Canis lupus familiaris: one gene and its partners. The main gene of each other region encodes a partner of the protein of the gene in region 2 in a complex. Links are inferred from orthologs where the notes say so. Each region holds a gene or a part of one and is shown on either strand. Other genes may lie near its edges. The genes, in order: LAMTOR3, LAMTOR1 and LAMTOR4.

Region 1 (9,995 bases), on a different chromosome or scaffold from region 2:
AACCCAGATCATTCTTTGTTAACCTTAATGTTTTAAGTTAGAAATAGGAATTTTCATATTAAGATACTGAAATTAAACTTTAAAGATCCCAGTGGCAAAAACTTTTAAGTCAGAGAAGTGTTATTAAAATTTGAGAAAATGTTATAAACACTATCATTTATGAACTTCACATTAAAAGTAAGAACGATGAAATAACCATGTATAAACATTTACTGGTATTACTTTTCATGATCATTCAATTCTGGAATTATCTACAGATTAAAATGTGCTCTGCATGGTTTTTTTTTTTTCTCTGTAAGGTTAATGTATAAAAGAAATTCTTCTTAAAAACTAGTTAAATAAAAGTATATTCTACAGATACATGTACACACAGAAACAATTTTGTACAGTTATCAACAGCAACATCACTTGAAATAGGAAAAAACCTAACTATTAAGAAAGACAAGATCAATAAATTATGACACACATATACAATGGAATACTTTGCAGCCATTAAAAATAAGGTTTTTTGTTATGCACTGGGAAGGACTGGTCTCAAAGGTATATTGTTAAGTGAAAAAACATAGTTTTGCATAGTGTGTGTACAGTTAACAAAACTTATATAATAACAAGGGTAGGCACACATATGTATTGTTGCAATGGACTAAATGTTTATGTCACCCCCAAAATTTGTATGTTGAAACCCTAATCCCAATGTGATGGTATTTAGAGGTGGGGCCTTTGGGAGGCAATTAGGATATGGGGTGGAGCCCTCAGAATGGGAATAGTGCCCTTACTTAAGGCTAGAGACTAGCTAGCCCTCCTTCTACCATATGGAGATAGGTGAAGTCTATAATGTGCAACTCAGAAAGCGGCCTTCACCAGAATCCAACCATGCTGGCACCTCGATCTTGGACTTCCAGCCTCCACAACTGTGAGAATTTCACTTATTTATAGGAAATCCAATCTATGGTACACTTTGTCCTAATAGCCTCAACCAAGACCTATGTGTACATGTATAAATATGTGTGCTTATTTACCTGCTTGTTTCTAGGTGCGTAAATTAACTTCGAGGGTAATGGGTGCCTTCAAGAGGGGAACTGTGTGGTGGGGGAAAACCAAACCAAACCAAAACAAACATATGGTCCTAATCCCTTTCTTCTACTATAGAAAGATTTTCATCACACTCTTACAAATACTCTTTTTACAAATATCAACTAGGCTTCTGCTCCTATATTTTGTTGCCAGTGTGGTATCTTTCCAACCCTACTGGTCAATTTTACCATCCATTCAATATGCTAAACCTCCAACGAGGCAGATACAGAAAGCCTAAGTACAGAAAGCCTTCATTTTGTACAGTTCCAATGTGGACTATAGTTACCACAGTTGAATGAAATAATTCCACTCTCCCTGACAGGATGGCTCAAATTTCAGGAAGTACGGTGTATTAAGTGAGTAACGGCATACAATACAAACTCCACTAACTCTTCACACAAATCACTGTGTGAATAACTGTAAATGACAGATGCACACTGTCCCATCACTTCTTTCAAAGTGTGTCGGTGACTGGTCACTGAGCATCTGTTACTTAGTTTATGCAGGGACAGTAAAGCATGGAGTATTATTATCTCCTTGTCTTCCAATGAAAAAGCATATGACATTAAAAAGAAAAACAGAACTGAAATAGGGAACTGGCTAATAAAGATGAAATACAGCAAAGGAAGTAAAGGTGACAATGCTGGAAGTGAAATTCAAATAGAAAGCAAGCACTCATAGATGAGATAACTGGCCAAAAGAATGCTGACATTTTTACTGTTGTGCACAAGACGTGCAGTTAGAGGAGCTTCGTGAAAGTGCACTTACTGACAGAATTTACGAAAGTGGGCTGTGATGAAAAGGATGAAAATCTCCCAGAGGAAGTGATGCTGGCAAAAAACTCTGAACATCAACAGTACAAAGGACAAAATGGTGGAAGCTGATCCACATTTAGAAAGGAGTATGCCAATTTGCCAAGGCACAGAAAAGATGCCTGCTCCTTATCTTAAGGTTTTACCTTTCATATATTTTACTATATATGCAAAGAAGCAGGCACTGTTCAAACCACACTTGAGAAGTTTTCTACAAAGAAACTAACACTGTAATCCTCAGTATTTCCACTGTTTTTAAATTGTGGTGTATTAAACAAATATTGGTTTTAGCATTTGTTTCTATCCCTTCAAACAGAACCAACAAAAGGTTTTAATGTTTTGACAAAATCTTCTAAAGGTCACAAAACAACTGTCATTTTCCCCAGGGATTACTAAAATTGCTTTGGACGGTTTCGGCTTGTACAGTCATTTTTATGGCCCTGAACTACCAAGCAAAGCCTGTTCATCATGTTAAGAACAGAATCAGTGCTCTAGTTTTGCAAGTACTAGAAGGAAGAGAGTGAAAATGAATTCAAGTACTACATTAACATGAAACCAGAAGTAACAGTTACTTAACAGTTCAATAGTATGTTCTTCCTGAATATAGAAAAATATACATAAATCAAACCCAGGAGACAAGGTCATTAATTTCTACCGGTTGCAGCCAGGGTAAAGGCACAAGTCAATAGGCAAACCACGTCAAACAATTCACGCAAAAATCCAAACAAGAGAATTTTTTTTTTTAACCTACCTACAGAAATAAATTGACATCCAAAATCTTTTAAAATTCACACATTTGGAGAATTCTTAAAAAAGTAAAAAAAAAAAAAAAAAAAAAATCTCACTTTTACACCTCAAAGGTCATTCAGTAATGCTGAAATATAAAAATGGATGTTTCAAGTTGTATTCTCTTTCTCATATTCTTAACTCTCAGGTATTACTTTACACTAAGCTAAATGTGAATTTTAATACAACTAAAGTGACAAAGTTCTTTGAACCACAAAAATATCTAAAAGGAAGTTTGCTGTCGTCCACACAGAACCTAATTGATACTGGTGCATCGAATGGACTGGGTGCAGGCAAAAGAAACCTTTGTGATTTTTCCAAGTATGAATGCTGTCTATATCCAGCATTTTTGGGTTATGCAGACTCAGCAATTAGGTCTTAAAAATGATACTAGAGGAAAGGCATGTTCTTAGGGTTTTTCCCCTTAAAACTGCTCTAACTACTTTAAAGTATAATCCAGTAAACTGCTGACAGTATATTTGAAAGAACTCTCAAGTGACAAGAAATCTAACTTCTAGCCCTCTGGCATTCATGAGCTGTTTAACTTCAGACAAGTCACATAACTTCTCTAAGCCTCATATTATTTATCTGCAAATTCAAAGGATATTTCTTGTGCTAATGTCAAATATGTGAAAATGCTAAACAGCAGCATAATATACATACTAGTCTATAATATACAGAAACGAAATGTTACATAAAATCAATATATATTATGCAGAATTTGTTTAATAACAAATTAGTAATTTTTTACCTTGGTAATTTTTTATACAGGAATCGCTTTAGGTCCTGAAAGAGAATATAAGAAATCACATTATAATAATATGCCTTGTACTGGTTCTCTAGTTACTGTCCCACCCACATTTCAGGTACTTTAAATTGTCACTCACATAATCTTTCTTGTGTTTTCTTTCTGATTTTGATACTAGTTGTGTGACTTGGAACAAGTTATTTATTAGCCTTTTTCTCTAAGCTCCAGTTTCATTATTTGTTGAGAAGGGATAAATCACAGAACCTATGTCATAAGACTGTTGTTAAAATTTATTGAGAAGATGTATGTAAACTAATTAGCCTATCTGGACAAAAATATAGCAAATACATATTAGCTGTAAAATTAGATCATATTTTTCATACTATTTTACATCCTGTTGCCACTGTCTTGTTCACTTGAGAATGTATTATAAACATCTTTCTGTGTCCACAGATAAGCCTTCTAATGTCACTTTAACAATCATGGGTAAACTCACTTCTCTGAAACTCCATTTGTTTTCATGACTACAGTAAATGACAATGTGTGTCAAGTGTTAAGCATGGAAGAGAGCTGGGACTAAAGAAATTAAACACTATTTTATTTCCTCTCCTTACACTTTCTCACCTGGTGAATTTCACTGACAATCTAGGTATCAATTATGAGGTCTACCTAGGTAAATCAGGTATCTGTTGTTTTGAACCTCTAATCCCTACTATTCTCTAAACCTGAATGTTCATTTTATTTTATGTTATCATCACCATCTTAACCTCTGCTCTTATCTTAAACACACACATTAAAATACAACTCATAACATTTCTTGTGAAATATAGATTTCCTCAATCTCTTATTGTTTCCACTAATGGCACTACCAATCCCATTATTCAGGTCTGAAACACAGAGTAACATTTAACCCTAATAACATCAATAACATCACCTTTATCACTTCTAAATGATTTGTGACGTCAAATGTTTTTAAAATGATCTCTTCCTCTCCTTTTCAACTGACATTATAATTCAGGTTCACTTTTTTATTTATGACTTGTGCTAGTCCAACTGGTATGCTGGTCTCCCATTTCTATCCCATACAATTCTACAATGCTAGTAGCCATATTATTGTACTTTTTCACCTGGGTTAGAGGTGCCAGATGATTCTGTGTGCAGCCAAGGCTGAGAACCAACATCTGAGTGGCTCTCCACTGTTTAAAAAATTCTCTACAAATTCTTTTAATATTTGAGCCTCTCTACAATACGGTCAACACCTAATTTTACAGTCTTGCTTCCTACCACACCCTCATAACCTCAGCCCCAGCAAAAGTGGACAACTCACAGCTCCTCCACACACATCTCTTTCCCTTTCCTATCTCTCAAACTTTGCTTATACTATTCATTTTAATAATAATTCTTTATTAAAGAATTTTAAGAAAAAATGCTACTTATTTAGAGCTCATCTCAACCACCAAATACTCCAAATAAGCTTTCCTGATAAATACAAACCAGATGTAATCCCTCTCTTCTTCGAATTTTCACACAATAATGTATATACATTTATGATCACCTGCTTACTATACCTTAAAAAGAAATTTAAAAACCCTTAAAGAGAGGAATTATACCTTAATTGTTGTTATTTCACCCACAGCCCTTATTGCAACAACCTTTGCAAGGTGATGCTCAATAGATATATAGTGATTTGACGATGCCTGGAGAATAAGGTCTCAAGAACATAATGACAAACACCCCCAAAAATGAAGTGTCTGTATGTAAAGGCATACAAAGTTCCTAAATATTCAAACACATAATCTTGCAACCAAAAAGAAAAAAAAATCACATTCATATTAATGTTTAATGACCATTTAACCTAGCGGTTAAGAGCATAAACTCTGGAGTCAGACTGTCTGGCTTGGTACCTGGACTCTACAACTTACCAGCCGTGTAACCTGAGGCAAGTTACTTCACCTTTCTATGCCTTGGCATCCTCATCTAGAACACAAGGGTAGTAACAGTGCCTACTTCCTGAAAGTTGTAAGAATTACATACGTTCAGTGTTTCGAAGAATGCCCAGCATGTACAGAAGTAAAATAATAACAGGATGTAAAATATAAAGATTCGTAGTGTTAATTCCCTGTTGTTCCTAGTAACTAGTACAATCAAGTTTCCTAAACTTCGAATTTGGGTTTTGTTGCTGTGCTAATGAGGTTATCAGTCAGAAATCATCTCAAATTGCCTCCAGTGAATCTAGAGACACGTCATGACCACTTTACTGGGAAAAAGTAGATTCACACAGCCGCAAAACGCCATTTAGAAATTCAAATGGTGTTCAGAGCCTCTCTTAACGCCCGCTGGACTGGGGAGTGGCAAGAGTACAATTTTCTCCACCTCAGACACCTTGGCGTCCTCCGCCCTCACCGTGGGCAGAAACTCAGGACCCAGAACATCTCTTCATGTTAGTCACTCACTCCGGAGTCTACAGAAAATACATGGCGGTGGGCGGGTTAAAAGTAAACTCATTTCTGCTCGGGAAGCTCTGCCTCTCCCCGCGCAGTAGGCCTCCAGCAAACTCCCCACCCTCCCCGCTTCCTCTTGTGTGGGTGTGTTAACTCACATCCGCCATGACGAACCCCTTTCTTCCGCAGGATCAATCTCCACTCCTGGAAGAGAAACTCCTGGTGATTCTCCCCTCAAGACCTTCTTCTCACTCTCTTCTCACCTCCAGCCTAATAAGCGGAGTCGGCTCTCATCAAGGCCGGGCAAGGATCCGTGGCTCTAGGACTCGCACCAGGGAAGCCCAAGCGAGGTGGGAGTTCCCAAAGAGCCAGAAGGAAGCTGGGATGCCCTACCTCAGCCCACTCCACCCTCCAGTCGCCGACATGTAGGCCCAAAGGAGAGGGGAAGGCCAGTGCTCTCCCTCTCCGTCTCACCGCTCGCGCCCCCTGCGGGCCCCGGCTGTATACCGAGCGAAGCGGCTCGAGTTACTGGCTTTCTGGGCTGCGGTGCTCTCTCCGCCGTAACTTCAGGGACAGTTTCAAAGACAAGTCTCCCCGGAAAGCCGTCGTCACATGACTTGTGACCTCCTCCGCGCTCCCGGAAGCAGTTCTCTGTCTCCGAGGCCCGAAGACACGGCATTTCCGGGGAGGTGCGAGGGCCTTTGGCGTCGGGCACGCCCCGCCCCTCCCCTCCCGGCCCCGCCCCTCCCCTCCCGGCCCCGCCCCGCCCCGCCCCGCCCCAGCCCTCTGCCCGCTCCCTGCGCCTGCGCAAGGCTTAAGGACGAGGGGCGGCTCGCTGGTGGATGCGGGCTTCGCTGGAAACCGTCGGGCTCTTAAAGAGCCCCGGGAAAAGTATGCGAGACGACGTTGTTGTGTGGGGAGGGTGCGTACATTTCATTAGTTTCTCAAGGTCCGTTATCTTAAGACTTTTTTCATCTTCAGATGAGAGAGTTTGAAGGGGTGTTGCTTACAGGCTGAGCGGCATGCAGGATTCCTGTGCCCTGAAGCCCCTGGTGCCTGGGACGCCCGGCTGGCTGAGTCCATTGAGCATAGGACTTGATCGCGGGGTGCTGAGTTCTAGCCCCACTGGCTGAAGACGGTACTTAAAAATAAAATCTAGAAAGAAAGAAAAGAAAGAAAAAAGGGGAGGGGAGGGGAGGGGAGGGGGGGAAGGTAGGTCCCGGGTTCATAGGTTTCTGACCCCAATGTCCGCCTCTGCCTTGGCTTTTTCAAGAGTGCTCTGCAGGGGCCTGTCTAGATTGAATAGAGGAGCCTTGGGCCTCCTGGAGTTTTCACAGCTGTGCAACTCAACTTGTGCAGATACTGGATAACCTGCCGTCGGCTCATGTTTTAGGAGGCTGTGACTTCTAAGGAGTAACAATATTTTGTTTGGTGCTCGTTTGCACATGTAACAAAAACCTACAATTGGTGGTAAGAAAACGAAGGCTATGGGAACTTGAGGACTCCTCATCTTCAGCTCCCAACCCCTAAAAGTCGGAGGGCGATAGGAATTAACTCTAGCCCAAGACATGGTGGACACTGATTTCCTGGTTATCCTTGAGAAGATGAAATGGTAAACTACACAGCTGTTTAAACTGTTAAAAATGACCAAATTATTACAAGTGAACTTGACAGTTCCATAGCAACTCACATTTTGAAGTTCACGTCCTTTTTCTTATTTGAATTAAACCCTTTGACTTCTTAGCTTCTGGGATGCTGCATTACTTATTTTCGGTCCTCACCCAGTCTAGTTTGCTTCCTGATTCTTTAGATGATGGCATTTAAAGCTTGTCTTTGGTTTCTGTATTTCTCTTTTCCCATTTTCCTGAGAATGAGTCCCAAGTCTACACCTTTCCTCAGAATTCTAGGTTCACATTTTCAGCTGCTTGTGGGTTGTTGGATATTTCTACATACATGTCTTTTAGTCAGCTCTGACTCAAAAGCTCCAAAAATTTCTCATTTAAGCTTTTTTTCCTAATGTGTATCTGTATTGTTTCCATGATTCTACTAGTCAGGTATCATGTTTGGGACTGCTAATCTTTTGTTCCTGATTTTTTCATCTATATTCTTTCAATTCTTCATTCAAACCCTTATTGTATTTAGCAAGATGATATTAATAGCCACTTAGTAATGGCCAGATAAGCCTTCCAAAACAATGCACATTACTGCTGTTCAAAAAATCTTTAGCGATGTATGTACCACTGCAGACTGATAAAGTTGACAGTCTTAGACTGACACAAGCATTCTATTTTACTTCTAAATACATTCTAATGTGAATCCTGTACTCCAGCCAAGTTGATTACTTCACCCTTCCATCACTGGTTATTCTTTCTCCACACTGGTTCTGGAGGGTCTTTTAAACTCAAATGTTTATTTCTCTTGCAGGGGAGGAAGAACATACTTCTACCCTCTTAGGTTTTTATGGCTGGGCCTAAGAATTAAACTGATACATTATCTGGTGAAAAACATACACATTTATTTAATATTCTTATGTGTATATGGCAGTCTTCAGAAGGAAGTAAGGTCCAAAGAAATCATTAGGTCCACAGGTTAAATACCTTTTTATGCAAAGAACAACAAATTGTGGAGATGTGACAAGAAAGGGGGCTTGGGTAAGGGACAGTAAATTGTGGGACAGTGACTCTGAAATATATGCGTGAAACCAATGGCAGATAAAAATTATTTAGTAGACTTGTTTGTACAGGTCCATTTTGGCATCAGTCTTGCCTTTGGTGGTAAGAATGTTCTCTTCCTGGTAAGAGGGCACCTTTCTCAGAGGAAATTTTAAGACCTGCTTTTTGGTAAAAGAGATCAAAGAATCCTTCCTGCATCTGTTTTCTTAGTGCCTTCAGTTCAAAATAATCAATATGCCTAAGTGGCATATTTTGGGGTGGCATGTTCTGCACCCCTTCACTTTCTACCTTAAATATGTATTTATTTTTTGAGAGAAAGAACATACGCATGTGTGCACATGCACAGGGTTGAGGAGGGGCAGAAGGAGAGAGAGACAGAAATAGAGGGAGAGGGAGAAGCAGACCCCCACAGGGAGCCCTATGTGGGACTCAATCCCCCAACCCTGGGATCAGGCCCTGAGCTGAAGGCAGATGCTCAACCACTAATCCACCCAGGTGTCCCAGGAGACAGCATCTTAAGCAGGCTCCATGCCCAGGGCACACAGCCCGATGTAGGGGGTAAATCTCATGACCTTGAAATCATGACCTGGGAGCTGAAATCAAGAGTTGGTCATTTAACTGACTGAGCCACCCAGATAATGTAATATCTACATTAGATATTTATTTATTTATTATTAAAAATATTTTACTTATTTATTCATTAGACACACACACACACACACACAGAGACAGGCAGAGGGAGAAGCAGGCTTCATGCAGGGAGCCTGATGGGGGACCTCCCCCGATCCCAAGTCTCCAGGATCACACCCCGGGCTGAAGTCAGCGCTAAACCGCAGAGCCACCCGAGCTGCCCAACCTTAGATATGTAAATCTTGTTTTCTGACAGTATCTTCTCACATATCACATTCTCTTGAATGCTACTATATGTTACCTAGAATAATTGATATTTGTGCATAATTTATGTGTCATAGTTTTGATTTGTTTTCCCAATGAAACCCTAACACCTAGAAGGCTGGGTCATGTTTTGGATTTTTTCCAGTTTCCTGCAATGACTAAATGTCTTGCATTCTGTAGGCACTCATTCAGCATCTGTGGAATAAAAGTGATTAAAAGAAACTGTTAATTCTGGCCCTGATGACAACTTCTTAGTTGCCCAAGTTTAGAGGCAAATAAAAACATGAACTCTAGCAAGTTCTTTTAATTTCCGGAAGTGCTATTTTTCACTTAACATCCATCCTAATGACTTTGATAAATGATAATTGACCTGGAAAATACTGATTTTTTTTCTTCTTGGGTGGCAAAAAAGGGAGAGCATAGCTTTCTAAACTCTCCAAATATCACTACATCCTCAAATTGAAAGAACTTAGATTTCTAATTTCCAAGTGTGGGGGTTTTTGAATTATGGATCTGTTTTGAATTTACTCACTGCTGCTGGTATAAGACTAGGGAAAATATTTACCAG
Region 2 (10,224 bases):
CCAGTCCCCTATGTGGAATGGAGCTGCTGCTTTCCCCTGGGTGGGATTCCTTTACTGGGGAGGCTTGGCTAGGGCAAGGCTGGGGGTGGAAAGGAGGTGGGTGCTGACCATGCGCTCGTCAAAGCCAGCCAGGCGGATGAGTTTTTCAGCCACTGCTGCCATGCGTGGGTCCCATTCCACGGTGAGAAGGCGGCCCCCAGGGGGCAGAGCACGGGCAAGAAGCAGTGTGGAATACCCGAAGTGGGTGCCCAGCTCCAGCACGCACGCAGGGGTCTTCTCCTCCACCAGTCGCGTCAGGATCTGACCTGAGGGGAAGATGGCTGTTACAGCAGACATGGGAGATGGATTTGGGGTCCCTGATAGAAAAGGATCTCGAATGCCCACTTGCCTCACTGCAGCCCCAACCAGCTGGGGTCTCCTCTCGGACTACAGCTCTAGCTGCCCCACTGGTTCTCCCTTCCCCTCTTTCAGTTTCACTTCATACCAGCCATTAGGCATCTTTCCAACAAACAAATCTGACCCTGTTGCTCCTTAGTTCCTGTGATCCTCAAGGCCTTTGAGATTTAACTTGAGATCCTTAGCCTGACATTCAGGACCTTCCTGGACCTGATCCTATCCAACTTTTCCATTCTTCCATCTGTAGCCTCTACCACAGCCCTCCCAAACAGTGTGCCCAAAGTCAACCAAGGCAGCGCTGGCTCATTTTTTCATGCTGCACCAGTGTATGTGGCTGGCTCTGCCCTTCCCCTCCCCTGTCCTTATCTACTTGGCCAAGCTGAAAGCAATTCTAGGGTCTGCTTCCTCCAGGAGGGCTCAAACAGAAAGAGCCACAGGCTTCTGAGAGACTGTTGCTAGAACATCCAGTTTCATTTCCTCTTATTTTGTTCATTGAATATCTTTCTAACCTTGGAATTGGAAAAATTTCTTCAGACTCTAAAAGCACTTGTGCTGGGTGCCCAGGCAGCTCAGTCGGTTTAGTGTCTGCCTTTAGCTCAGGTCATGATCTTGGGGTCCTAGGATCGAGCCCCAAGTTGGACTCCCCGCTCAGCAAGGAGTCTGCTTCCCTCTCTGCTTCTGCCCCTCTCCCTGACTTGTGCACACTCTCAAATAAAATCTAAAAATAAAATAATAGAATAAAAATTGAAATAAAGTAAAATCACTTGTGCCAGGACCTGGGACTCCAACAAAGCCAGGCATTACTCTGAATGGGATGTAGGAGCCTCCGTGATTGGGGGAGAAATACTTAGCACAGATAATTACAAAGTTATGAGTTATATGCTGAGATGGTTGTCCCCTTTGTACTGTCCCCTTTGAGGCCAACATTTGTGGTTGATTCATCTGTGTGGCCTCTGCCTCCTTTTCCAACCCAGCACTTAGTACAGGCCTAGTACAAAAGTGGTGGCAATAACTGTTAGATGAATGAATAGCTTTGCCCAGCCCCCTCATTTGTGGAGGAGAAAAGAGAGACTCAGAGGATCAGGAACCTGCCCAATGCACCCAGTAGGCAGTGGTAGGTCCCAGACCTTCCTTACCATCTTAGGGGTGCTGCCTGGAGCAGAAGGGTAAGGAACACTGACCTTTGACAGGCCCCATGTGGCCCAGGTACTCGCAGTGGCTGCTCCAGTGGTCCAGGGTGGTGAGGATATGACTGGGGTCCCCAGGCAGGGCGTGGGTGAGCACATAGCTGAAGGCCCGCTCCTCAGCCCGTAGCCCTGACAGGCAGTCTCGGAGGCTCCGCAGCAAGACCATGCGCACCAGCAGTCGGAAGTAGTGCCGGTACCGCACCAGCAATGTCACCACCAGTGGCAGGAAGGCCAGTGCGATGGCGGGGGACATGGTCCCCACCAGGGCTCTGAGGTGAGAAGAGGCAGGGAGGGAAACCCACATCCACCATTTGTCATTTGTATTAATTGTCCCTATGTTTTACAAACCATAGCTCAGAAAGGCTGTCTTTTGCCCATAGTCACACAGCAAAATGGGGATTTGAATCTGAATTGGTTCAATGCCAAAACCATGTACTTACTTTCAAGGACTTCATGCTAGTCTGTGTTCTGCATCCATCCCCAAACCACCTCTTCCCACTTCTGCCCCTTGGTCCTATCTTCACCGTGCTTCTTCCATCCGTTTCCCCTCATCTCTTTAGTCACCTCTTCTGGACCACTTTCCATAGTCCCCTGAGATATCCCCCACCCAGCCTCCCCTCTGCCTTGTCTCCTCTGACCCATTAATGTGGAGCAAAAGAGCACAACTTTGTAGTCAGAAACCCCTTCGGGCCTTGTGTGCTGCCTCAGTAAAAGGCAATCAAAACACTCCATAGGGTGTTAGGATGCAATTCCTTCCCACCCCTCCATCTGTTCTTTCCTGAGGTTGGGAGGAGTCCCTGAGTCTCTGTCTCTTCTCCAGTCCTTTCATGCCTCCTCCCCTGCATTTGCCTTTTCTGTTCTCTTTCAGAATTCTTTTTACAAGCGTGTACACATACAGCACCCACTGTCCCCCCAAGCTCGAGCCTCTTCTTCCAGGGCCCCGATGGGGGATAAGTGCTCTTTCCTCTTGCATACCCTGGATGATCCTCCCTTTCCTCCACATCTGCCCCTTGTGAGGCCTCTGGTGATGGTGGGGACTAAAATTGAAAGCAAGAGTGTAAAAGTGGATGTGAGTAGGTGAGTGATAGTGAGTTTGAACTGGTATGCTTGGGAACCCACACTCAAGAGCCCTGCTTACCTGGGCTGGAGGCTCCGGCTGGGGGAAGATCAGAGCATAGGACAGGAGGGGGAGTCCTTGGGGCTAGAGAACCCTGAGGCAGGCTGGACCTGCTCTCAATTATTGATGCAGAAGCTGCTGCTGTCACCTGAGACCTGCAGTTCAAGTTACTGCAGGAACAAGGTGGGTTTGACTCTTACCCTTCTCAAGCCATGTAAGAATTTACAGAATTTCAGGGTTTTGATCTGAGGGGTATTAAGAGCTACTGGGTTCAGTGACCTCTCCTCTAACTCCTTGTATGTCCCCTCCCAGGACAGGGGACATGGTGTGACCCAAGGTAATGGGAGTCTGTAATTTACTCAATTCAAAATTCAATTGACATTTTGTCTAAGCAAATGCCAGGGTGTGGGTAGCAGAGAGGGTTCAGATCTTGTTCCTTTCCTCCAGGAACTCCCAAGTTTGGAGGAAGAGACTGATCCAGAAAAGGAGAATAAAACATAATCCAGTACTCCATTGATACACTTTAGGCTTTTTTGTGAACCTCTGTATATCTAGACAGAACATTGTGTGGCACATTACAGATAATTACTTGATTCAATAAATGAAGAAATCCGTATGGGATAGGGATTAAGCACAGGGAGCTGAGGATGCCCAAATAATGGGATTGGAGATGGCAATCAGGAGGTTACTGTTTGTAGTGAGGCTTGAAGACAGAAGAGACACCTAGTAGGGAGACAGTGTACAAGGCCACGTGTGGAAAGTCCAGAGGGTCTGTCAGGAAACTGCAAATATTTTCTTTCTTACGGCTGGCTGGCGAGGCATTACTCCGATTCCTGCACCACCACCAGCCCCCGTGACTCAGATGCTGGCATGGGAGGCAGGTAAGAGACTCTGCAAGATCTTGAATGACAGACGTGGACCTGTGTTCAGCGTCCAAGGGAAAATATAGGATGGTTCTAAGAAAAGAGCATTGTGTGTTAGATTACTATGGTTGCTTAAGAAAACCAAGCAAGATTGAAGAGACGTGCCTAAGGGCAAAGACCGTGAGGTGGCCTCTACCTCTTCCAGGTTTGAGCTCTGCTCTGCCTTGGTTTGTGTAGGAGTAAGGGCTCTTCTTCCAGTAAGTTGTCGATCCTTAGTCCAGGGTGAGAACTCCATTGGGTGCCACACTCTATGTGTCCCCCAACTGGACGCTAGGCATCTGGATCCAATGTACACAGAGACTTGTGTGCTCTAGAAGCGTAGGGCGTCAATTCCAATCGCCCCTCGCATGGCATTTAGGAGACCAAATCATAATAGCTTTTGGTAAAAGTTCACTCACTGGCCCAGAGAGGTAGCTTGGCAGCCACGCAACCACATAGCACGAGGGCCGGCCGCAGAGAAGAGCCCCCAGAGCCGGTGGACGAAGCCTCGATCTCTGAAACTGGGCAGAGGCTGAAGTCATGTGATCCGCCCCTCCCTTTCTCGCATCATGTGCCTCGAGTCTTGTCAAGCGAAGCGAGCCTTCCCATTGGTTGGCGATGATCACGCGGTGGAGGCGGGGCCGGAAGCCGGGGTGGCGGCGGCCGCGGCGCGGCTCTGGGAAGGGATAGGCGAGGAGGAGGGTGGCTGCCTGCTGGCTGTAGCCACGGGTCATGTGACCGGAAGGGCTCCCGACGGACGCCGTCCCTCCTCGGCTCGGCCTGAGCGCCCGGCCCGACCCCGGCCATGGGGTGCTGCTACAGCAGCGAGAACGAGGACTCGGACCAGGTGCGGCCGCGGCGGGCGAGGCTCGGGAATGAGGGTTGCGAGACTGGGGCGTCGGGCTCAGAAGAAAACCTGCAGAAGAGCGGGAGCAGGACTGCGGGGCTCATATAGTACGGCGGCCGGGAGGGGACAGATTACAGAGGGGACGCCCGGCCGGGCTCCTACCCCTGTTAAAGCCCCAGCTTTCTCTACAGTCTCCGCACTGGGGTGTGCAGGCAGGTGCTTGTCCCGCTCGCTCCCACCCCTTTCATCTTATCCTACCCTTAAACCTTTATAGCCTTCAGGATCCTCAGCCTAGGTCTCTGGGAAACATGGTCTCATCAGTTTTCTGTGCTTTTTCTGTGCTTGTAGGAGCGGGCTTTGTGAATCCATTCTAGGGATGGGTAAACTGAGGCTCAGAATTAGTTTGTCCTGCATGAATCAGGAATCTGTGTCTGCTCTCAGCCCCTGGGGTTGGAGAAGGAAGGTCACTGCCGATTTGGGGTCAGAGAAGGCGTCTGGAAGTAGGTGGCATTTGAATTGACCAGTGAAGAATTTAATAGAGACAATGACATCGAGATATGTGGGAAGTTGGGAAGTTACAAAGTGGGTTTCTGCTCTGGCTGGATTAAATGAGAGAGATGGGATGGGGAGCACAGTTTTGCCTGCCTCGTGCAGTTTTTGCCTGGGGCCTGAGGGTTCCTTCAGCTAGACGAGTAGTTGTCCTGGGAATTTGTAGATCTGATGCCTTTGCACAAGAGATTAAGCTGGAAAACTTGTGCAGTTTTTCATTCTCCCTCTTCCACTTGGTGCATTCTCACTTCTCACACCTTAAACCCTGCCCTGCCTGCCTATCTCTTTTTAGGAGTGGGGAGACCTTCCCAAGAATGAAGTCTCAAGCTCTTTGCCATCACCTTTTTGATTGCCTCTAAGCCTGGATTCTGCATTTCAACACATTCTAGACGCAGAGACGATAGAAAGATTTCTGCAAGTAGCTCAGAGTCTGGTGGGGAAGATGGTCACAGAAATGGACTATATTACTAGTATTTGCGAAGTAGGTCTTTCCTCAGTCACTCACATGAACCTATTTTGGATTAAGGACTTAAGGCTAGGAAATGTCATTTGTTTGAGAGGCATGGGTAGCTCCTGGGCCTCATTAATTTTCCAAACACTCAATGAACACATCTTATTTCCTATGCCTTATGTTAGGCATACTTTTTTTTTAAAATTTATTTATTTATTTATGATAGTCATCACAGAGAGAGAGAGAGGCAGACACAGGCAGAGGGAGAAGCAGGCTCCATGCACCGGGAGCCCGATGTGGGATTCGATCCCGGGTCTCCAGGATCGGGCCCCGGGCCAAAGGCGGGCGCTAAACCGCTGCACCACCCAGGGATCCCATGTTAGGCATACTTAATGCCTACTACTCCTCAGTTCACCTCAGTCTCTTAGAGGAGACAGTATTCCCGTCTACTGGGAAAACAAGGGTAGTGGGAAATCATCCCCGCAGGATAATACAGACTCTTGCAAGGAAAGAGTCAAGAAGAATTAGTGTCTTCTAATAAAGAATATTGGCTTCTAGTTGGGAGAACTAGGCTTGCTGCTTTCCTGAATTTCATCTTCTTCTTGACAGGCTCTCACTTCTGTTTCTAACCCCCCAGAGAGGTGCTTGATCAGTGCTGGGTGATTTGAGGCTTCGTGTGGCAAAGGTCTATACCATACCATTCACTATCTCAGAGTCCCTCTCCCACTTTCATCTCTACTCCTTTATTATAATAAAAAGAAACCTATTACACATTTTTCAAAGGCCTTTTATAGTTCTTTCATTTGATTTTTGCCAAACGTTTGTCGTATAGGTACAGGTCCTGTATTTAAAGGCAAGGAAAAAGTTTAGAGAGACTAAGTGATTTAGCCAAGGACAGAGAGCCGAATAGTGCCATAGTCACGGTGTCTTGATACCAAGCCATGTGCTTTATACATTGGACCAAGCTGTCTCTTTCAAACCTGTGCCCGTAGACCAGGTGGCTAGTCATGGGCAAGCCACATCTATGTGTCTAGGGCAGACAGTGAAGCCCTGACTCCTGGGTTGACACTGACTCAGGGACAGCCCTTGGTATGGAAAACCTCTTCCCTGCTGCAGTTGCCTGTTGAGGGTGGGATGACGTTATTTGTCCACTCTGATGGGAGTAGCCCAGCCTCCTCTGGGAGTCTAGGTCTCCAGAAAACAACTTTGTTCTTGAGCAACCCGATGGGAAGCTTATGCTCCGTCTTGCAGGCAGATCTGTCTCGAGTAGGGCTGGGGGAAGGATGACACCCAGGAAGCAAACTCAGGGTTCGTGATGGAGCTAGCTTTTCTGTGAGATAGCTCGGTCTGTGGCAAGCCTTTTGTCTTTCTAGCTCTTTAATACTTAGCCTGTGTTTTTAAGGGGGAGGGGCCGTGTTTTTAAGGGGATAGGGCAGAGTCCTACAGCTTTTGTCTCCTGTTGTGGGGAACTGGGGACACTTGGGCACCCTGGGCTTGAGGAAGAGTGTTGTGAAAACGCTGGGCCTGCCTAGGGTGGGGCGGGAGGAAGTGGCCCTGTGTAAGGAGGGTTGTGGAGTCAGGAGCCTTCCACGGGAAGGGCTGTGGTAGGAACTGAGAGCGGCCTGGAGTGGAGCACTGGTGGTCTGGCACTAAGGGTCGGTGAGTCAGCATTAGGCAGGATAGGCCCCTTGTCCTTGGCTTTGTCCTGGGCACCCTTGCCCTTTATGGCTTGGATAGATAACCAGCAAGTCTGCTTATCCAATTTGAAGCTGACACAAAGCCAGCAGGGATTTGCTGCTAATGGGCTCAAAGCAGGGTGGTACCCGGAGACATTGTGGTAGATGAGAACGAGGGACTGAAAGAACGAGGGGAAATATACACAGAATTGTGAAGGACCAGGGAGACCTGGTTTGGCCCCAGGTTAATTCTGGGGGTTTGATTATCAGCATAGGCTAGCAGTAACACGGACTACGGAAAATCAGCAAAACCACACTAACAGAGGTGTGGTGGATTGGCAAGGGAGGGAACAGCTCCAGTGTCAGGCCAGGCTTCACCAGGGGCACCAAGTATAGTCCTGGGAGTCATATACAAAGAGGACATCAGAAGAGAGTGAATACCTGTGAGTAGAAGGGACCTGCCCTCAAGAAGGGGGCACACTTGGGACTGTGTGACCCAGAGACTGGGACTCCTGCCCTGACATTATACGAGGAATAGAACTGTCTGGGTTCTCAGGGCGTCTGTCGTGGGAGCAGCCAGCTAGCTGGGGAGGGCCTGGCCTGGGGATCAGGAGTGCCATTCTTAGGCTCCTGACCTGCAGCAGTTTCTAGACCTCATTCCTCTGGCTTCCAGCTTCCAGTATCCTTTGTCTGTCAGGTGCTGGACTGTTTTCTGAAGCTCTAGACCTGTTACTGAATATATGCTTTGTGCCTGTGTCCATCTTTTCAGGGCCTCTAGGACTGCTTGGTTCCACTTTGATTCATTCTAGACCACCAACTCAGCTGAGCTCCTGAGGGCAGGCAGGACTGAGTCTTAGCTGACATGCCATATACTTGGGCACTTAGGGTATTTTTTGGTGCTTCAGGGTCAGAGCTGGGCTGAGAGAAGAGCCCAGGAAAGGCAGGTTGGACTAAAGGGTCCAGGGCTGACTTCTCTCCTATCACCTCACCTAGGACCGAGAGGAACGGAAGCTGCTGCTGGACCCTAGCAGCCCCCCTACCAAAGCCCTCAATGGAGCTGAGCCCAACTACCACAGCCTGCCTCCCACCCGCACAGATGAGCAGGCCCTGCTCTCCTCCATCCTTGCTAAAACAGCCAGGTGAGCACCACAGGACCAAGCCTGGGCAGAGCTTCTCTATCCATGTTAAAGGATGGACAGAGGGACAGGGCCCAGGACATGGGGGATGGGACAAAGTCAGTGGCAAGAGGTGCTTCTGGGCCCAGTCCTACTCCACTGGGCGGGCAGGGCCAGTGGTGTCAGATAGCCCTGGAGTTGGCACTTGGCAGTGAATCCCGTGTGTCCCTCTTGAAGCACCTGTCATGTTCCCTCTGCCTCCTCTCCCCAAAGCAACATCATTGACGTGTCTGCTGCGGACTCCCAGGGCATGGAGCAGCATGAGTACATGGATCGGGCAAGGCAGTACAGGTGAGACCTGGCCAGCTTGGGTCCCCCCTTCAGGCTCCTTGGGCTCCTCCCTGCCCCTTATCCAGCTTTGGAGCCTGGGCCCCAGGCCAGGCTTCTGGTTTGGGTGAAGCCCAGGAGATGGACGACAGATCTCTCCGCTACCTCAGCAGATGTTCGTGTCAGCCCTGTTTGCCCCATGGCCCTCAAGGGTGCGGAGGCCAAGGGAGGTGGGCCTGAAGTGAGTTTGTGGTGAGCAGAGGTGCCTGTCACCCTGCTCCTCTGGCCCAAGGGACTGAAGCTTGCCTGGGCTGGGCTGGGCTGGGCAGAGCAGACTGGCCTGACCGCTCCCCGCCGTCCTCCCTCTTGGCCAGCACCCGCTTGGCTGTGCTGAGCAGCAGCCTGACCCACTGGAAGAAGCTGCCACCGCTGCCATCTCTCACCAGCCAGCCCCACCAAGTGCTGGCCAGCGAGCCCATCCCCTTCTCCGATTTGCAGCAGGTGAGCCACCCCTGAGCCCACCCGCGCCTACCCTTCCCTTATAGCTGGGCTGTGGCAGAGGGCTCACCCTCTCTGTCTCAGAGGCGGTAGGGAAGTGGAGTTAGGGAGCCTGGTAGCTCGAATGCCCCACTCACTCTCACCTTACTTTGTATCTTCCCCTCTCTACCTTTATTCTCTTTCTCTGCTTTGTACTTTTCTGTCTTTCCCGTCATTACCTTTTTCTTTGGCTTCCTGTCCCCCACCACCCCCTCCTCTCTTGCTACCCGATCCCCCTTCCCCGGCTTTCCGGATCTCTCTTCTCACTGTGTCTCTCTGTTGCTCTCGTCCCTGGTCCCTCTCAGGTCTCCAGGATAGCTGCTTATGCCTACAGTGCACTTTCTCAGATCCGAGTGGACGCAAAAGAGGAGCTGGTTGTACAGTTTGGGATCCCATGAAGAGAGGGATCCTTGGACAGCTCTTCTCCTCTCTTCACCCCGTCTCCACCCTGCCTCCCCTGGGCCCCCAGCCTCACTGCGGCTCACACAGTACCCTAACCTGCTACTAATCACAGAGAAGAGTGTGGAGGAGGAGAAGAGTGAGGCTGGAAGCCTGAGCAAATGAGGACAGAGCAAGGGAGGGCAGAACCATTTGGGACTGGTGTTCAAAGCCCTGGCCAGGGATGGGATGGGGGTCAAAAGATTAGGGCCTGGTAGGTCTTCACTGTCACTGGGAAGGTGAAGATACCAGTGTGAGGGTGATCCCTAGGGGGCCTATAGGGGCCCCCTTCCCACCCTTTCTCTTGGCCTCACTCCTTCTCCCTCTCCCTGACCTGGTGCTCACATGCACCTCACTAGGGTTTGTGACCAGGGTCTGGACGAGCTTGAATTTGAATGAATTGAGTTTGTATTTCTAGCACCCTGGGTTTTTACATGTTTGGGGTTTTGGGGTTTCGTTTCGGTTTGTCGCCCTCGATAAAGGAAGTGTATTCATCTGTGTGCTGGTTGCAGCCCCTCTGTCCTGCCCACCACCCTATAGTACTATTTGTGGTCTGTGAGCAGTGAGATTTGGGGGAGGAGGGGCTACGTCTTCTAGGGGCACAAAGAGGAATCCAGGAGATAAGGGTACAGGGTTCCCAGGTTTTAGCTGGAACTTGGCTTGGGCTAGCCTCAGGTTGGAT
Region 3 (10,025 bases), on a different chromosome or scaffold from region 2:
GGAAGGTCGGGGTGGGAGGAGTCAGAGCCACCAGCCTCTGTGGAAGAAATACCATGGGTGGCACTGAACAGCCACGCAGAATGAAGGTGGAGTTTAGATCCAGCATTGGCAGGGCAAATGGGGAACCTGATTTGAAAGGAAGGCTGGGGCCTGGAGGCTGAGCTGGAACACTGACCTGTGTCTCCCCTCGCCAGCTGAGCCAGCACATGAAACTGAAGCTGCAGTTCACAGCCAGTGTGTCCCACCCTCCGCCTGAGGCCCGGCCCCTCTCTCGAAAGAGCAGCCCTAGCAGCCCTGCTGTCCGGGACCTGGTGGAGAGACACCAGGCTAGCCTGGGCCGTTCTCAATCCTTCTCTCACCAACAGCCGTCCCGCAGCCACCTCATGAGGTACAGAAGCAGGGGAGGTGTGCCATTGGTGCCACTGTACCGGGTAGAGGCCAGGGTTGGGGCAGGAGCAGATCAGGGTCCTGGGGTGTGATCCGGAGCCCACAGCCTCTGCCTTCTCCCAGGTCAGGCAGCGTGATGGAGCGCAGGGCCATCACGCCTCCTGTGGCCTCGCCTGTGGGCCGCCCCCTCTACCTGCCCCCGGACAAGGCTGTGCTTTCTCTGGACAAGATTGCCAAGCGTGAGTGCAAGGTCCTGGTGGTGGAGCCTGTCAAGTAGCACCATGCAGGCTCTCCTCCCTCTTACCTCCCAGAAACCAAAAGGCCCTGGAGAGGGTCCTGGCTCCAGACTCTGCCTCCCCTGGGATGCCTTCCACCGTGGATGAGGAGGCCCAAGAAGGCCACCTGTCTGTGTCTGCTGATGAGGGACGAGGGGAGAAGCTGTAAAATGGGCGGGTACGGCTACAGCACTAAGCCAACAGTATTTCTTCATCTCCCTTGGGGGGGGGGGGAAGGCCCCACCCCGAGGCCAGGGTAGGGACTTCAAGAGCTCCCTTGCCCCCCTTCCATTCCCCCCCCCACCCTGTACCCTGGTTCTAAGTTTACAAAGTGTATTCCTTGTTCCTATTAAGTTGTCTCTCCTGCCTCTGACATTCCCTCCCTCCCACCCACCTGCAGGGCTGAGATTAGAGGGTGGTGATGGTAAAGGGACCCGGACAATGACCCTCCTGTCTCAGGGGAAAGGGGAGATAGCCAGGTGGCCTCCTCCTGCCCCTTATGTTTACGTTTGCAGCCTGAAGCACTTTAAGTTGTGTGGGGTTTTCTTTTTTTTTTCTGTTTGTTTTTTTTAATCTATCTGTTCCTGTAACTTATTCTCCAATTACTGCTTCCAACTGAAATAAGACTATTAAATGCCTGTTCAGGAGGGGGAAGAATGATTTTCATTTGTGTGTTGGCAGCAGGAGCAGAGACCCCAGAGGCTCAGAGTGGTTCCCTTCAGCATGCACACCAAATAGCTCCCCTCAACCCCCTTCCTACCATATTATCCTCTGATTGCCAGTTTTATATACACTACCCCTCTGGTCCAACATACATGACTGTCTCCCTAGAAGATGGAAGACAGACTTGGGGTGTAACGCCCCTCATACACACATTCCTAGGCCTGGGAACATCAGACTCATGTTTTATTAGGAGGGAGGGAGGGATGGAAAGAAGAGGGAGATCCCCTTGCCCTCACTCTCCCCGACACAGTGCAAAGTCCCCAAGCCTCTGCCCTTCGAGGGGAGGGGAGGGGAAGTGGGTGAGCAGAAAGCCTTAGTTCTAGCAGCAAGCCAAGAAAAAGGTGGAGAAGGTTTGCGTCTTCCTCATCGAGGAGGCTCATGGACCCAATCCACCTCTGCCCCTTGCCCTCTGGCAGGCTCAGACGTCAACAGGCTCCCGGCCTCGGTTCTGCCTCTTCACCACAAATACCCTCTGTCCTGACACGGTCACCAGCAGCGTGTGTTCTCCAAAGACCACTGGAGAGGAGACACACCTTCCCCCACCCAGGAGAGGGAAGGGAGCACAGAGTTAGTGGGGTACAACGGCCTCTACTGGGTCACATCAACTGGTGGGATCAAAAGCCAAAGGCATTTTTGATAGTTGAAGGCTCAAAGATTTGAAGATAGGAGGGCTCCATTATGTCTCCTTCCTTCTCTTGGTTTCTCACAGTTATGATGCAGGGATGAATCCCACCCAAAGGGAAGAAAGTAGCCAGAACCAGGGACCCCAGGGGGAGATGGTGGGAGGTTGGCAGGAGACAGGTGTTTTTTTCCCCCTGAGAAGAGAAGCCTCTGGGATCAACCCCCACCCCCTCCCACCACCACCACCAGGGGCAGGGGCTGAGGCTCACCGGACAGGCGCTTGAAGGGTATATTCGTGCTGTGGTGCAGCCGGAAACCACAGGCTGTGCTGACCAGCTCAGAGATGGCACTGGCTGCCTGCTCGTCATTCTCTAGATCCCCAGATGACTGCATGCAGAGGGAGGAGGAGGGATGGCAGAAATTAGGGAACAGAACTGGGAAAGAATTCCAAGAACAGTCACTTTGGCTCTAGTGTTTGTAACCTCTCCCTCTCAACTTCCTAGTACCCCTAAGGTCACCCCCCATTTTTGGAAAAACAAACCCAAAACTTTCCTATGATATTGTTGCTCCTATTGAGGCCATCTTGTTTCTCATCCTTACAATATGGGGCTTCCCCCTGTGAGCAGTGACTCTCATTCATTTCTTTACTGACCATTCTTTCCTAATCCCTGAAACTTGATTTCTTCCCTTGTCCCCACTTCTTAATAAAACCATTCTCAAACATCTGTGCTCATCCACCACTGACTAGTTCAAGTCTCCCTCTTTTCCTCAGTCTTTCTATTTGTTGCCCTATCTGCAGAATCTGAAACATAACTGAACATACTTTTTGTCCTTGAGCCCCTCCCTACTACCTAGCCCTTGGGTAATGATATGACTGTGACCTAGGCTTCCTCTTTTCTGGTAACTGTCTCAATTTCCTCTCCCAACCTCTTCAACATGGACCTCCCAACTAAGGAAGTGCCCTTTGTTCTCTTAGACATTCCACACTTCAGTTTTCTCATCTGTAAATTGGGACAAGTTCCTATCCATGGGCTTATTGAAGATTACATTGAGATATTGGCGAGATGCTTAGTTCCTAGCAATGTACTCTAACTGCTCTCATTCTATATCAAAATATCTAAAGTCAAGTCATCAAAATTCCCCTTTATCTCACCCCCTCCAAAATCAACTTCCTTTCTTAATTTCCTCTTTGTTAAGATACCATCAGTCTAGGCTTGGGCTCAGTCTTACTACATGAAGAAGTATCTCTTCTGTTACCTATCTCTAGTCATTACCAATATATATTGATTCTTCCTTTAAAATTCCTTCTCTCCTTGCTCCTTCTCACTGCTGCCAGACATGTCTCAGACCTAGATTTTCACAGCAGGCCCCCTACTTCTGAATCCCACCCCTCCCAGCTTATCTTCACACCTAATAGAAGAATCTTGCTCAACTATTTCCTTAACCTACATTTCTATTCGAACCCCTTCAAAGCTCCTATTCCCCTCACGATTAACCCAGTCTTGACACCAACCCAGTCTTGAAAGTCCTCCACAATGGAATCTTTTATTCCAAATCTCTTCAACACAAAGCCACCACTCCAACCCTGAGTACTCTCTTTTTCTGTTCACTATGTATCCTTTAAGCCCAGCTGAATTCTTACCTCCTCTAAGAAAGTCTCCTTGTCATAATGTATAACACATGGGTTGAATCTTTCATTTTTCTGGTCTCCTTCACTAGTCTTTACCACTTGCATTACTTTCAACTTGTAACCTTAAGCCATGCTCTCCAGCTCCATTGAAACTTCCAGAGAGCTTAACACTATATTGCACCATGGAACAAAATACAAAACCTCTTACATAAATACTAACTAAAGACAATTCGAGAAAACTTGGATAATATATATCAGTTATCAACAAAAGACTATTTGTCTGACTTTGGTAAAGTCAGTAAACCTCTTTCACTCTGAAGTACCAGACTACGATTCCAGAGATTTATTTGATTGGTTACTGAAAGCTTACTACACGCCCAGCATGATAGCTAAGACTGAGACTAGAGACAACTTAGGCTAAACTGGGCTATGGTAAAAGGGATCACGGGGCCTTGTGTCCATGGGGGACCCCCTCCCTTGCCCAGAACGCACCGCCAGCACTGCGCCTTCACTCAGCACCAGGTAGCCAAGCTGGTCTGGGATTCGCTCCAGCCCCTGGGTCAGTGCAGAAGTCTAGAGGGTAAAGATGCAATTAGAGAAGCATACCAGGATGGCCCTAGATGCCCTTCACTTCCAAACCCAAGGCTTTTTGACAACTTCCCTACCCCCCGCCCCCGCCCCGCCCGAACCTTCTCTTTCCCCAACCAGGGCCCTTCCAGACCCTCTAGCCTCTACAAAGCCTTCAACACTGATCTTAGGCTTCCCATCTTCCTCACCCTCTGACCCTGGGCTCTCTTGGCCTCTGTAGATCCGCTGTTCCCTTCCCCCACCCTGCCCCATCTCCAATTCCCCTGGTGGCCCGTCCCACCCCCGCAGACTACTCCCCAGCGCCCATACACCCTCGCACAGGTCCCTCCTCAGCCCTCTACGTCGCCTCCCCTCCCATCTCGATTCTCTCTGCCTCTCGGGTGGACAGGAGGTAAGGGCGGAGTGTAGGCCCAAGTAGGGGTAACCAAAGAGATTGGGGAACAGACATACAGAACCCCTAGCGCGTACTCCCGCGCATGCGTCCTCACTCACCATCGCAGCCTTAGGTGCTGGGGGCGCTCCCTGTCAGATAGGTAGCTTCCGGCTCCAGACCCAGGTCACGTGCTTCCACAAGGCGGTTCCCTCTACCCTGGCGCTCCGGAAGTTAAGCCCCGCCCCCCAAAGTGCGGATTGGAACATGGCTACATCATCAGCCTTAATCTGCCAATGCGAAGCGCCGCTTCCCGTAGACGCAAGCGGATTGGTCTCAGGCCCTCCTTCACAGCCATCTCCCAGCCCCTAAGCCCCGAGCTCGGGGAGGGGGCGTGTCGGCGGAGGGAAGGGCCTGGAGGGGCGGGGCCGGAGGGAGGGGGGGGCCGGAGGGAGGGGGGGGGACTGAGGGTGTGCGCCTGCGCGCAGAGGGGCGAGCGTTTCTCCTTTGGCCGCGCTGCTCCTCAGTGTGACCACGAGCGAGAAAATAAAGTGAAATGACGTGAAATGCGCGAGAAGAGCTATTCAAATGCTACTCATATCCCTATTCTAGGCAACTATCTCTTTAGGACAGGGATTTGTTCCCAAAGCTGCTTTCCCTCCCGAGATTCTGTAAGGAGCGGTGTGACGGTGAGTGAGTTCCCCGCCTCCTCCCCTCAGGCTAGGCAGCCGCGGAGCTAAATATTCTCTGCCAGGAAAAATTAGAAACAGGACTCTGAAGTCATTTTTTTAAATACCCGAGTGTCATCTCGGAAACTTGTTTTAAGTAGTTTCTAGGCCCGCGCTACCAAAGTGACAGAAAGTGTTGGTGAGGTAGAACGAAGGCTGGTTCTCGAAATAGTAAACACCTCGTTTGGCGAAGGTGTAGAGAAATTGGCGCCCGCCTGCCTCGCTAATGGGGCTGTGAAATGGTGCCGCTGCTGTGGAAAACCCATCAGCGGTTCCTGGAAAAGTTCAGTCCAGAGTTAGCTCCACTCCTAGATGGACTCCTGAGAGAATTGGAAACATGTCTATGCAAAAAACGCTTGCACGTTTTTTATGTTCATAGCAGCATTAGTCCTAAGAGCCGGGAGATGGAAACCACCCAAATATCCATAAACTCAACAACAGAGAAATAAAGCCTAATATAGCCATACAATGGCCTTTCATCCAGCTGTAAAAAGAGGAATGAAGTATTGATAAGTCCTACAAGGTGGATAAACCTCGAAAACATTACTAACTGAAAGCAGTCAGATACACAAGGCCACACAGAGTATGATTCTATTTCTGTGAAATGTCCAACCCAGTCAAATCCATAGAAACGGGAAGCAGGTCTCTGGTTAAGAGAGGCTAAGCCCTGCTCACAGGCACACTAGCTAGCAAGTGCAAGAGCCAAATTCCAGTTTAAGTTTGCTGACACTGAGTTTGATGCTTTTTCCCATTGCTCCATCGGCCAACTACATTTATTATTACTATTTAAGTTACTACTTAATATTATCTCAAAAATTCCCTTTTTTTTTAATTTTACTTGATACAGAGGAGCCCTTTGCAGGACAATGCTCATTAGCCATCATCAGAATTGTTTTGTTTTTACAAATCGTACTACTCTTGTAGAGAGCACAGTTTCTCCTTCTTTCATTCAACCAGTATTTGTTGAGTACCTTCTGTGTACCAGACACTCTTCTTGGAATTGGAGTCAGATATTATCTATCTATCTGTTTCAAAACGATAAAGATCAAGGGAATGATTTTTAAAAATTAGAGTAATGGCCACTTCTGAAATTGGGTCAGGGATGGGATAGAAAGAGATACAAAGGGTTTCAAAGTGTTGATAATTGCTGTAGTCTGAATACTTGTGTGCCCCCACCCCTAAATTCATATATTGACTCTGATCCCTATTTTGATGATATTTGGAGGTTGGGACTTTGGGAAACTACACACTCCCTTATTTTTCCCCAACCTGATCCCTCCCAACATACACACTTTGTTCCAATGGGGTTAAGGAGCTCATATCTCTAGTGTAGCACTGACTATACTTTACTACTACTCGTTGCCAGCCTAGCTTACTTAGAAGCTGAGCAACACGGGGTCAGGGCTGTGATGTTTTCAACACTTTATTCCCAAAGAATATGACTACTACCCCACAGTCTTCAAAAAGTGCTGGTTGAATCAAATGTCAGGCTTAAGAGCCAGGAAAGGCAGAGTGAAGGTTGGGAAGTCTTTTGATGGGTATATGTAATTTAGACTGATGTTTGACCAAACCACTGGATCCTATAGCCTAGCCAAGTTGACACAAAACCCAAATAGGGTGGGTGCCCCTTTGCTGTGACAGTCTCTGTGGCAGCATTCATACCTGGGCCTGAGTTGTGGGTAATCCTTTCCCACTTGCTTTCTCCTGCCTCCACGCCGGAGTATTATGGGATAACTGAGCAAAGGGGAAGGAATGCGCTTTGTAAGTGCATATCTTAGGGGAAGCATTTGTGAGCCAGAAGGGGAGGAGGCATTTGAGTGTCTCGGGCCTGGCAGTCTGTGATTGCTGGGAGCCCATATAATGTTGGAGAGTCCACTTCCTTGGTTTTCTGTGGCCAAGAGGCAACAAAGCCCTTCTAACACATGCAGGCTCTCTCAAAGCTCAGGCCACTCCATTTCTCAGATTTAGTGATATGTGAAAAACCAAAGAGAAGCAAAATCAGGGTTCCAAAATTGTGGCATGATTGAAATGGTTACATTTAACAAATGGATGCTTTTAACACAGAGATATTACAAAGCTTTATGGTTTTGACAGTCCTGCAATAATTATCAGGTTTACAAAGCTAATCTGTGAGGCAGAATGCTGTAATGAGACACCAGTTAAGTTGTAATCTGTAAGTCTCTTTCTTTTCTTGTGGGCATGTCTCTGGCTGAATATATAACCAACTCCCTTTGGAAGGAATGTTCAAAACCTACATTTGAGGCTTTTGTGAATGTGAAGCCCAAGCAAAAAGTCCCTCTCCATCTGGGCTAGGCTCCAGATACAGCTTTAACATACCTCAATTTCTGGTTATTTTTATGACCTTAAGGAGGGGGTCCCAGACAGAATTAATAATGTGGTCATGAGTCACATCCTCAGCCCTGGCCTTATACTTTTTTTCCAGTTATAGATTCATACTCAACAGAATTTATATTTATGTCTAGGATTTAAGTTTTTCCTCTAGGGCTGGAAAGGATTAATTCATTCATTATTGAAAGCTACTATGCTATACCAGACACTGTTCTAGAGGTTGTGGGTAGAACAAAGATCTCTACCCTCATGGAGCTTATACTCTAGTGGATGGAGACAGAAAAAAAGCAATACATAGAATAAGAAATTTAAATAGTGTGTTAGAAGATGATGAGTGGTATGGGAAAAAAATCATCAGAGTAAATGGGGGCCAGAGTGAAGGTAAGAGAGAACATGCTGCAGAGTTAAATAGGGTGGTCATAGTCAATGGTAGGTCTCTCTGAGATGTTGAGAAGACTCAAGCAAAGACTGGAAGGAGGTGAGGGAGTCAACCTGGAGAAACCTGAGAGTGAATATCCATGGAGGTAACTTTCGTGAAGGTTCAGTGTGTGTGTGTGTGTGTGTGTGTGTGTATGTGTATGAATGTGCATGACTGATATATATGAGAATCAGCAAAGAAGCCAATATGGTTGAAACTGATCAAGGAGAGAGTATTAGGAGAGAAGCGCAAGGTGATAATGGGGGCCAGATCATGTACAGCTGTGTAGGAATTTGATTTTTCCTCTTAGTTGTCAACTTTTTTTGGTTGTTTTTTGTTTGTTTGTTTGTTTGTTTGGTTTGGTTTTGTTTTTGCCCCTTAGGAGACTTTTTAGATTTTATTTTCCTAACTACTACTATCTCATAAAATGTTAATACCATAGATATAACTTACATTTGTCTATGTACTGTGGCCCTCCAAACAGCCACAAACCATTGTAATATCCAAGATTTTTTTTAACCCTGACCCCTAAGAAACAACTTTCCATCCCCCTGGAAATGATATTATTCCTGTTGAGAATGCATGCTCATGCTGAGTGAAATAGAGAGTCACCAAGGAGTTTAAACAGAGGAATGGTATGATCTCACTATTAAAAGGATCATTCTGGCTACTATGTTGAGAAGAGATTATAGGAAGAGAAGAGTGGATGCAAGAAGACCAATTAGGTAAGAGATTATAGTGACATAGAGCAGGATGGTAGTAATGGAGGTATTGAGATGTAGTCAGATTATAAATATTTTGACAGTAACACCAATAGCATTTCCGGATGCATTGAATGTAGGATATGGGGAAAAAAACAAAGCAATAAGAATGATTTTTGGTTTTGGCCCAAGCCACTGGAGGGATGGTATTATCATCAACTTAGATGGGAAAAGCTAAGGATAGAGTAGCTTATTTAGAGGACAGTCAGTGGTGGTGGAATTAGAATTCATTTTTGCCCATATCTATCTGCTATGTATCAAAGTGGAGATTTTGAACAGACAGATATGAGTCTGGAATTCAGGAAGGAATTCTGTGCTAGAAATATAAATTTGGAAGGTGCTGATAGATAGATGCCCTTGAAGCCATGAAACTGGATGAGCTCAACAAGGGAGTGAGTGTACAGAGAAAAGAGAATGATCCCTGGGCCATGTCAGCGCCAAGAGGTTGTGAGAAGAGGAGAAATCAGCAAAGGTGTCTAAGAAGGAACAATTGGTGAGATCAGAGGAAACCAGGAAAGTGAAATGTCCTGGAAAACAAGTGAAGAGTATGTATCAGGAAGGAGAGAGTGACCAGCTGGTGTAGACACTGCTAATAGGTGCTGAGAACCATCAGTAGATGATTGATTCTTGGCTTATGTGCTACAAAGATCATTGATAATTTCAAGAAGGACAGTTTCAGCCAAGTCTGATTATAACAAGATTAAGAGAGAATGGGAGTGGAGAAATCAATGGCATTGAGTATAGGAATGACTTTTTAGAGTTTTACTCTTTTAAAGTTTTTTTAAAGAGTTTTACTGCAGCAGGATCAAAGAAGTGGGGCAATAGCTGGTAGAAGAGCTGGATACATCAGTGATCAGGACAGATGTCAGGGATCGGTGGGGTCAAGGGAGGGTTTTGTTAAAATGAGAATAAAAGCATAGCTGTACATTGAAGGAAATAACTCAGAAAAGAGGGAGAAAATGGGGATGTAAGAGAGAGCAAGGAGAATTTCTGGTGCGATAGCCTTGTGAAGGTGAGGAAGGGTGGGGTCTAGTGAAGGATTGTCTTTAGATACAAATACAAACGGTTCATCCATGGCAACTAATGGGCAGGACGATTATATGGACACAGATGCTGATAGCTGGGTAGAAATGGGAGTGGGGAAGTCTGTGAAATTTTTTTGAAAGTGGGAACCA

The links.
Region 1: LAMTOR1 (region 2) and LAMTOR3 share a complex: the UniProt entries of both Homo sapiens proteins name them as parts of the ragulator complex. The link is inferred for Canis lupus familiaris from reciprocal best matches to the Homo sapiens genes LAMTOR1 and LAMTOR3.
Region 3: LAMTOR1 (region 2) and LAMTOR4 share a complex: the UniProt entries of both Homo sapiens proteins name them as parts of the ragulator complex. The link is inferred for Canis lupus familiaris from reciprocal best matches to the Homo sapiens genes LAMTOR1 and LAMTOR4.

What each region holds. Positions count from the first base shown.
Region 1 is NC_049253.1:18,045,842-18,055,836, reverse strand, and holds the start of LAMTOR3 (ragulator complex protein LAMTOR3), read right to left. Parts: upstream 6,530-9,995; 5' UTR 6,369-6,529; exon of another isoform or gene 6,066-6,368; 5' UTR 6,029-6,065; coding exon 6,020-6,028; intron 3,459-6,019; coding exon 3,424-3,458; intron 1-3,423. UniProt on the Homo sapiens protein: As part of the Ragulator complex it is involved in amino acid sensing and activation of mTORC1, a signaling complex promoting cell growth in response to growth factors, energy levels, and amino acids.
Region 2 is NC_049242.1:26,094,762-26,104,985, forward strand, and holds LAMTOR1 (ragulator complex protein LAMTOR1), read left to right. Parts: upstream 1-4,259; 5' UTR 4,260-4,407; coding exon 4,408-4,449; exon of another isoform or gene 4,450-4,524; intron 4,525-8,118; coding exon 8,119-8,264; intron 8,265-8,513; coding exon 8,514-8,591; intron 8,592-8,941; coding exon 8,942-9,068; intron 9,069-9,409; coding exon 9,410-9,502; 3' UTR 9,503-10,042; downstream 10,043-10,224. Other genes in the region: transmembrane O-methyltransferase, read right to left, coding at 109-305, 1,578-1,852, 4,022-4,059. UniProt on the Homo sapiens protein: Key component of the Ragulator complex, a multiprotein complex involved in amino acid sensing and activation of mTORC1, a signaling complex promoting cell growth in response to growth factors, energy levels, and amino acids.
Region 3 is NC_049227.1:9,317,462-9,327,486, forward strand, and holds LAMTOR4 (ragulator complex protein LAMTOR4), read right to left. Parts: upstream 4,725-10,025; 5' UTR 4,720-4,724; coding exon 4,675-4,719; intron 4,210-4,674; coding exon 4,129-4,209; intron 2,394-4,128; coding exon 2,276-2,393; intron 1,929-2,275; coding exon 1,804-1,928; 3' UTR 1,552-1,803; downstream 1-1,551. Other genes in the region: TRAPPC14 (microtubule-associated protein 11), read left to right, coding at 195-388, 511-664; NXPE family member 3-like, read left to right, coding at 5,161-5,283. UniProt on the Homo sapiens protein: As part of the Ragulator complex it is involved in amino acid sensing and activation of mTORC1, a signaling complex promoting cell growth in response to growth factors, energy levels, and amino acids.